2 linked regions of the Macaca mulatta genome follow. The protein of the gene in region 2 interacts with the protein of the main gene of each other region in a biochemical or structural test. Links are inferred from orthologs where the notes say so. Each region holds a gene or a part of one and is shown on either strand. Other genes may lie near its edges.

What was found. The genes of interacting proteins can lie anywhere in the genome.
Region 1: the proteins of ACTB (region 2) and HNRNPU form a complex in vitro, tested with the Homo sapiens proteins (2 studies listed by BioGRID). The link is inferred for Macaca mulatta from reciprocal best matches to the Homo sapiens genes ACTB and HNRNPU.

What each region holds. Positions count from the first base shown.
Region 1 is NC_133406.1:4,246,174-4,250,433, reverse strand, and holds the start of HNRNPU (heterogeneous nuclear ribonucleoprotein U), read right to left. Parts: upstream 2,801-4,260; 5' UTR 2,563-2,800; coding exon 1,872-2,562; intron 977-1,871; coding exon 865-976; intron 778-864; coding exon 704-777; intron 1-703. UniProt on the Homo sapiens protein: DNA- and RNA-binding protein involved in several cellular processes such as nuclear chromatin organization, telomere-length regulation, transcription, mRNA alternative splicing and stability, Xist-mediated transcriptional silencing and mitotic cell progression.
Region 2 is NC_133408.1:43,744,743-43,748,705, forward strand, and holds the start of ACTB (actin, cytoplasmic 1), read right to left. Parts: upstream 2,801-3,963; 5' UTR 2,783-2,800; intron 1,925-2,782; 5' UTR 1,919-1,924; coding exon 1,796-1,918; intron 1,662-1,795; coding exon 1,422-1,661; intron 978-1,421; coding exon 539-977; intron 445-538; coding exon 263-444; intron 147-262; coding exon 3-146; 3' UTR 1-2. UniProt on the Homo sapiens protein: Actin is a highly conserved protein that polymerizes to produce filaments that form cross-linked networks in the cytoplasm of cells.

The sequences.
Region 1 (4,260 bases), on a different chromosome or scaffold from region 2:
ACAGTCAAAGCCCACTTAGAGGTTTGCAATACTTTCTCATACTCAATTGCAACCCAACTGGGTGAAGTAGCAGTATTTACAGTGCTGCACTGCCATTGATACCATTCGCTGCTGAAGAAAGCTAGTGGCCCAGTGATAGCCCACTGCTGCTGCCTCAGGTCTTTGGAAGAAATCAACTTATGTTTAAAGCAGCAGCTACTGAACTGGAATTGAGAACAAAAGAGCAGTTATTGAAAAAATAATATTACAATCTTTTAGAATAGGGAATATACTTGTGTGCTAATGGGAGAAGTCATTAGTAAATATTTAACTAGCCCAAATAGCTCACTTAATATAATTCCACAAAAAAATGAATTACTTTATTGTAGAAGCCTGTAAGGCTAAATTATAGGTAGTGTTACAAGTTTCCGTTAGCTAGTCAGAAACTGGCATTAATTTTACATTTCCTAAGAACGAGAACTTTCAAGTCATAAAAATATGAAACTCCTAGAGCCTGTAAAATAATCCATTTGATACAACTGATGCCGTGCTAAATATTAAACTACTAGGTTCTGAATATAAACCATTATCTCTTCCTGCTTTTAAAAAAACCTAACCCAACTTTTGCTGCACTTAAGCATTAAGTTTTCTAACATTTTGGAAGCAAAAAAAAAAAAAAAACCATCACCGCATTTCATAATTGGGGAGAAACAGCTTCACTTACAAGTATCAAGACAAACCACTGTGTCATCGAAGTGTTCATCTTCTTCTTCAACCGGTGGCTGAGGAGATTTGGCTCTGAAAGACAGAATTGTCTCCTGATACAGCTTTCCGATCAACGAACGAATAAGGGATGACAAGTAAAACTAGGTGAGCATCCTATACCTGCTATACTTGTTCTCTTCAATGTACTCAAAATATCCACGGCCATGATCTTCTCGTGGTCTTTTAACACCCCTCTTTTTATCTCCGCCTTTCTGTTCTGTTTTGCCGTCCCCTAAAACACACAAGACCCCCATAAGAGGCCAAGCCGCTAAACAACAACAAAAAAACGCTTTTCCGTTCCGAGAAGCAAAGCAGCTCGACTTTATCCTGCTTTTTAACCGAGGTTTTAACCGAGGACTCAAATGTGAATTCGAAGAACAATCAGCTACGAATTGGATTAGCGCTAGTGACGCAGTCTAAAGACGTTACGAATTTTGCCAGTCTCCTCGATGATTCGAGAAACCCAAAGAAAAACTGCGCGGCCCAGGCCCGAAGCCCACGTGTATCGCGACCAGGGCGCAGGAGGGGGAGGGGCCGAGCCCGGCGCGGCGGCGCTCCCCTCCCCCGCGGGCCCGCGCTCCCCGCGGCCGCATTGTACTGATCTTCCGCCCCCCGCCCCGCCCCGCCCGGCTCCTCCCGCAGGAAGTGACGTCACGCCGAGCCCCTGCGCTCCTTGCACAATACAGCGGCGAGGAGCCGCCAAAGCGCGCCCGCCCCGGGACCTGGGGCCTCTCCCCTCCCCCCGAGACATGTGCCCGCACCGCGCGCACGCAGCGCGACGGCGCCACCGCGGGCCGACCGGGCTCCCTCCCGCCGCCCGCCCGCGGCTCCTCCCCCTCCAGCGGCAGCTGCAGCTCCCCCCGGCTCTCGAGCCACATAATGGAGGCGCTGCCACCGCCGTCACACACACACACACACACACACACGAACACACGCACACACGCCCCGAGCCCGAGGCCTCTCGGCTAATCTGGGATTCCCCGCGCCCCCTCCCCCACCCGCCACCCTCCCCGCGGCCCCCCGCCCGCCCGGGGCTCCCTCCCCCTGCGGGGCTCCGGCAGGCCTGGGGCACGGTCCCCACCCCGCGCGGGCCTCCCGCCGCGCGCAACGTACAACGCAGCACTCACCCGCCGCCGGAGCCCCGGGGCGACCGCCGCCTCCGCCGCCTTCCGCCTTCTTCTTACCTCCCGCCTGCTGCTGGCCCTGCCTCGCCCCGGGCGGCGCCACCGTCACCGCGAACAGCGAGGTGGGGCCGCTGCTCTTCCCCGCGGCCTCCTTGGCGGCCCCGCGCTGCTGTTGGGTCTGTTGCTGCTGCGTCGCCGGCGGTTGAGGCTGCTGCTCCCCGTGCCCGTTCTCGTCGCCCGCGCCTTCCTCTTCGTCCCCGAGCTCATCTTCCCCTTCCTGGAAACCCTGATCGTCGCCGTTCTCGTCTTCCGAGGCGGCCTCCTCCTCCTCCATCGGGCCCGAGTCGGCCGCCCCCGCGGCCCCGTTCTCCTCTCCTAGCTCCATCTGGTCGCCGTCCAGGGCGGAGATTCCTTCCTCCTCCTCTTCCTCTTCCTCCTCCTCTTCATCGCCGCCGACCGCGGCCTCCTGCTCGAGGCCTGCTCCCGAGCGCCCGGCGGAATCCCCGCCCAGGTCTAGGCTGCCGTTCCCGGGCTCCATGGCGGGGCGGCCCCCGGCCTCCTCGTCGTCCAGCGCGGCCTGGAGTCGCTCCATGAGCTCGGCCTTGAGACCCTTGTCAGAAAGGCGTCGCTTCTTGAGCTCCTCTTTCAGCTCCGACACCTTCAGCTTTTTTACATTAACAGGCGAGGAACTCATGGTGAGGGCCCCGATTCACCGCTAGGCGCTGCCTCAAACTCGGCTCCGCTCACTCGGCCACTGGTGGCGGCTGCTGCGGCTGCTCCTCGGCCCGGGCGGCGGCTGCGGCTGCGGCTGGAGATGGGGTCGTGCTGCAGAGCGGATCCGCCTGGTGTCGAACGGCGCCAATTCCTTTCACCGAGTTCGCGAGGGAGACGCGGAGACTCGCCTGGCGCGAGCGAGCACGCAACGTCCTCTCGCAGGGGCGGCGCCGCGCACGTAATATAGGCGCCCCGCCCCCTGCGCTGACGGGAGCGCTGCGCAGGAGGAAAGCCGGAGCGCGCCCGCGCTCGGCCCCGCCCATTACCGTACTTACCTCCCCGCCCCCACGCCGAACCCGGGCTGAGAGCGCGGCGCAGGCCGCGCAGTGCGCTTCCAATTGGGACTGAGCAAATGGAGGAAAAGGAAACCGCCTTTCAGTTAAACCGACTCACTGCACAATCTATTGGCCTTTCTGGGTCTTTGGTGGCTATACTCGTTTGGCTTTTCGCCTTCCCAGCCTGGAGGCTGCTTTGTCCAAATGCTTTCTTCAGTCCTCAACTTGGCATTTCAACCCGAATCCGCCTTTTCTTCCATCTTAGATCTGCCTTCTTGTATGTTTCTCCAGCTTTCCGTTTAAAACTCCTTCAAATCGTTTTGACTGGTATAACACACATTGGCAACTGTTACACGCAGGGGCTCTTTTCAGCATAATGCTGTATTTGATTTAATATGTGTAAGTCCTGCTTTGCGAATTGGATTTTAAGTTCGAGAAGGGCAAGGGCAGAGCCGTTCTTTTGTCTGTTCCACACCCCGGGTGCAGGGCCTGGGAAGTAGAGGCTTTGCTTACTACTCCATACTGCAAACCCTAGTTTACCAGCCTTTGCAGGGCTATTCTCATGCTCTTAATAACCCTAAATAAACCACAGAATTGCATTTCCAAGTTTTCTGTACCTACCACAAAGACGGACCTCCAGTAAGGCTTGTTCTGTCCACTTTAGGACCTGGTCATCGGCTATGAAGTCTCAGTAGTTAACCATGAGGGTGAGACCCAGCTAGGTCTTTGATTATAGGCCCACTTGATTCTCTTCCTATTCCTGTAGAAATACTCTTGACCAAATCATTCTGAAACTTAAAGTTCATGAAAAATCAAGGGCAGTGATTTTGTTAAAAAAAAAAAAAAAAAAAAAAGGACTATCGCTCTTGAAAAGAAATCCGTTATTTTGTATGTTAGAAGTTTACTTTTTCGCTTTAAATAAAAGATGTGATGTTCCCGAAGTTTTAGACAGGGAAGTCAGAATTTAGATTCGTGATAGAAGTTAACGTCTTAAACCCCAGATAATCTGCAGTGTCCAGCCAGTGTTCCATCTGACTAAGGAGATGGTTTATACCCACTGTTTGGTACTCTAGGTGGCACAATAATATTGCCCCATTATTAATTTGAAATTTGGAGGTATACATATTGAAATTTCTCCCATAGGCTAATGGGATTTAACTGATTGATGCATTTTACTTTTGAAGTTTATTTTCAATGGCTTTTATGAAGCATTCTGTCATACCTTGCAGCCATGTATACGTGAAATATTAACATTTGTGAAATGATTTGACTTGAAATTAATGGACTATGTACGGTACTACTGATAATCCCCAGTTCAAGTTAAGTGGTGAGGCGAGCCCCCA
Region 2 (3,963 bases):
GCCTAGAAGCATTTGCGGTGGACGATGGAAGGGCCAGACTCGTCATACTCCTGCTTGCTGATCCACATCTGCTGGAAGGTGGACAGCGAGGCCAGGATGGAGCCGCCGATCCACACAGAGTACTTGCGCTCAGGAGGAGCAATGATCTGAGGAGGGAAGGAAACAAACAGGCAGTGAGAACCCCGGATGTGACAGCTCCCCACACACCACAGGGCCCCATGGCCCACCTGCCCAGGTCAGCTCAGGGTGGAAGGACACCCACCTTGATCTTCATCGTGCTGGGCGCCAGGGCAGTAATCTCCTTCTGCATCCTGTCAGCAATGCCAGGGTACATGGTGGTGCCACCAGACAGCACTGTGTTGGCGTACAGGTCTTTACGGATGTCCACGTCACACTTCATGATGGAGTTGAAGGTAGTTTCGTGGATGCCACAGGACTCCATGCCTGAGGAAGAAATGAGGGCGGACTTAGCTTCCACAGCACAGCCCGAAGGGTGACCCTCAGGTCAGGCAGGGCCGGGAGGCGGGTCTCCACTCACCCAGGAAGGAAGGTTGGAAGAGAGCCTCAGGGCAGCGGAACCGCTCGTTGCCAATGGTGATGACCTGGCCATCGGGCAGCTCGTAGCTCTTCTCCAGGGAGGAGCTGGAAGCCGCCGTGGCCATCTCCTGCTCGAAGTCTAGGGCGACATAGCACAGCTTCTCCTTAATGTCACGCACGATTTCCCGCTCGGCCGTGGTGGTGAAGCTGTAGCCGCGCTCAGTGAGGATCTTCATGAGGTAGTCAGTCAGGTCCCGGCCAGCCAGGTCCAGACGCAGGATGGCATGGGGGAGGGCATACCCCTCGTAGATGGGCACAGTGTGGGTGACCCCGTCACCGGAGTCCATCACGATGCCAGTGGTACGGCCAGAGGCGTACAGGGACAGCACAGCCTGGATGGCCACGTACATGGCTGGGGTGTTGAAGGTCTCAAACATGATCTGTAAGGAAGAAATGCACCATGTCACACTCAGGAAGCTACTGGGACAGCCAGGCCAGATGGGGGACATGCAGGAAGTGCAAAGAACACTGCTAAGTGTGCTGGGGTCTTGGGATGGGGATTCTGTTCAGACCTACTGTGCACCTACTGAATACACACTCCAAGGCCGCTTTACACCAGCCTCATGGGCTTGTCACACGAGCCAATGTTAGTACCTATACCCACAGCACTGTCTGTTTTAGACACCTAGTCAGAGAGGCAAACACCAGAAAAAGAGCTCATCTGGGAAAAAGCAAATAGAACCTGCAGAGTTCCAAAGGAGACTCAGGTCAGAGAAGAGAGTCCTACGAAGAACGGCAGAAGAGAGAACCAGTGAGAAAGGGCGCAGCTCCGGGAGACCAGGAAAGAGGGCGGTGGCCACCACAAGAGGTAGCGGGCCACTTACCTGGGTCATCTTCTCGCGGTTGGCCTTGGGGTTCAGGGGGGCCTCGGTCAGCAGCACGGGGTGCTCCTCAGGAGCCACACGCAGCTCATTGTAGAAGGTGTGGTGCCAGATCTTCTCCATGTCGTCCCAGTTGGTGACGATGCCGTGCTCGATGGGGTACTTCAGGGTGAGAATGCCTCTCTTGCTCTGGGCCTCGTCGCCCACATACGAATCCTTCTGACCCATGCCCACCATCACGCCCTAGGAAAGAAAAAACAAGGCGCCCTAAGCACGGGCGCGGCCCCCACCCCAGAAACCGGGAGACCCCCGTGCAGAGAAAGCGCCCTCGCCTCCCGCCCGCTCCCGGGCCCGCCCCACCCACCCAGCTCCCCTACCTGGTGCCTGGGGCGCCCCACGATGGAGGGGAAGACGGCCCGGGGGGCATCGTCGCCCGCGAAGCCGGCCTTGCACATGCCGGAGCCGTTGTCGACAACGAGCGCGGCGATATCATCATCCATGGCGAGCTGCGGGAAAGCCGGGCGCTCTGTGAGCCGAGGTGGCCCCCGCCCTGCCCACTTCCGGCGCGCCGAGGCCTTAGGCCGCCAGGGGGCGCAGGCGCGCGCCCAGATTGGGGACAAAGGAAGCCGGGCCGGCCGCGTTATTACCATAAAAGGCAAACACTGGTCGGAGGCGTCCCCACCGCGCGCGGCAGGAAGCCAGGCCCCCACCCCCTCCCAACCGGGAGCCGGCCCCGCCTCCGCTCCGTTCAAATAGCGCCGGGTCGGCGCGCGCGCGCGCGGCGGCCACACCCTCAGGCGGCCGGCGGCGCGGGCAGGAAGTGCGCGCAAGCGCCCTGGAGCCTCCGCGACCCCACCCCTTCCGGCGGGGCCAGCCCTTGCCCCAGCCCAGGCCGCGGCACCCGGGCCCCAGAACGCACGCGCAATTAGCGCCTGGAGTCCCAGCGCGCACGCGCAACTAGCGCCGATTCCCAGCGCGCACGCAGAGTTAGCGCCCCAAGCCCCAGGACGCACGCGCAATGGCGCCCCAGCCCCCCACCGAGCCTGGCGGGGGGGCTCCGCCGCGCCCACCCTGCAGTTCCCACTGGCAAGAAGCCGGCTCGGACAAAGACCCCGCCGGCTGCCCCCATCCCGAGAGCAGCACCCCCAGAGCGCGCCTCCCGAGCAGGGCCCCGCGCCGCCAAACTGAAGCGGGGTGTCCCCACATCTCTGGAGGCCCAGGGGCTTCTCCCGCGTCCCCCACTGCAGTCCAGTCCCCACATGCGACCCCCGCTGCGGCGCAGGCGGCTCTACACAGGCGAAGGGGCCGCGGCCTTAGGCAGCCGAGCCGGGAGCCGCCTACCAGGGTCGGCTGGCCGGGCTTACCTGGCGGCGGGTGTGAACAGGCGGCGGAGCGGCAAAGGCGAGGCTCTGTGCTCGCGGGGCGGACGCGGTCTCGGCGGTGGAGGCGCGTCGCGCCGCCGGGTTTTATAGGGCGCCGCTGCGGCCGCTCGAGCCATAAAAGGCAACTTTCGGAACGGCGCGCGCTGATTGGCCCCGCGCCGCTCACTCACCGGCCTCGCCGCACAGTGCAGCATTTTTTTACCCCCTCTCCCCTCCTTTTGCGAAAAAAAAAAAAAGAGCGAGAGCGAGATTGAGGAAGAGGAGGAGGGAGAGTTTTGGCGTTGGCCGCCTTGGGGTGCTGGGCCCGGGGGTTGGGGGCGCGCGCGGTGGCCCCCGCACCCCACGCTGGGCAGTGCCCGGTTCGGCCCCGCATGGCCAGGCCTGTCCCCGGCCTGCCCGTCTCTCGGGCCCCCCACCCACCGCGGGACATTCTAGGTGTGGACATCTCTTGGGCACTGAGCGCCCAGGTCGGGTGGGCCAGGGTCTGCACGGGTGCCAGGGTCCTGGGTGCTGTGCGCTCCTGCAGAAGGAGCCCTTGAAGGGCATGGAGTGGCCAGGCAGTCACTCCCCCTTGCCGACTTCAGAGCAACTGCCCTGAAAGCAGGTCTCGGGACCTCTGGCTATGGGGCTCAGCTAGCTAAATGGGCTGGGTGGGTCACTAGGGAGAGACTTGGGCTTGAGAGGTAGAGTGTGGTGTTGGGGGAGTCAGGGGCCTCGCGGCCACTTAGAAGTCGCAGGACCACACTGCCCAGGACAGGGCAGGCGCCAGCGGTCCAGTGGCTTGAGGTGGCCTGTGATGAAAGCTGCAAACCCACCCAGCCACGGCCCTGGGAAGGTGGGCTCTACGGGGCAGGGAAAGTTTCCCCAGGAGCTGCTGCTTCTGAGGGTAACGCGGTCACGCCCAGCCAAGACCAGGCCTGGGGCGTTAGTGGGTGACCCAGGCAGCTCCAGGCACTGCGGGGTGTGGGGGCTGGGTCTACACAGCCTGGGTCTGCGCCCACCGTTCATTGCATGTCTGCTATGCGCAGCCACAGCTGAACTGCCCTCCCAGACCATCTGGAGGCCGCGGGGGGACTCTGGGGACCAAGACTCCATGTGCCAGAGAGGATTGGGGGCGGGGCGGGGTAGGAGCTCAAAGCCAGCCTGGGAAGACCCTCTCCTTG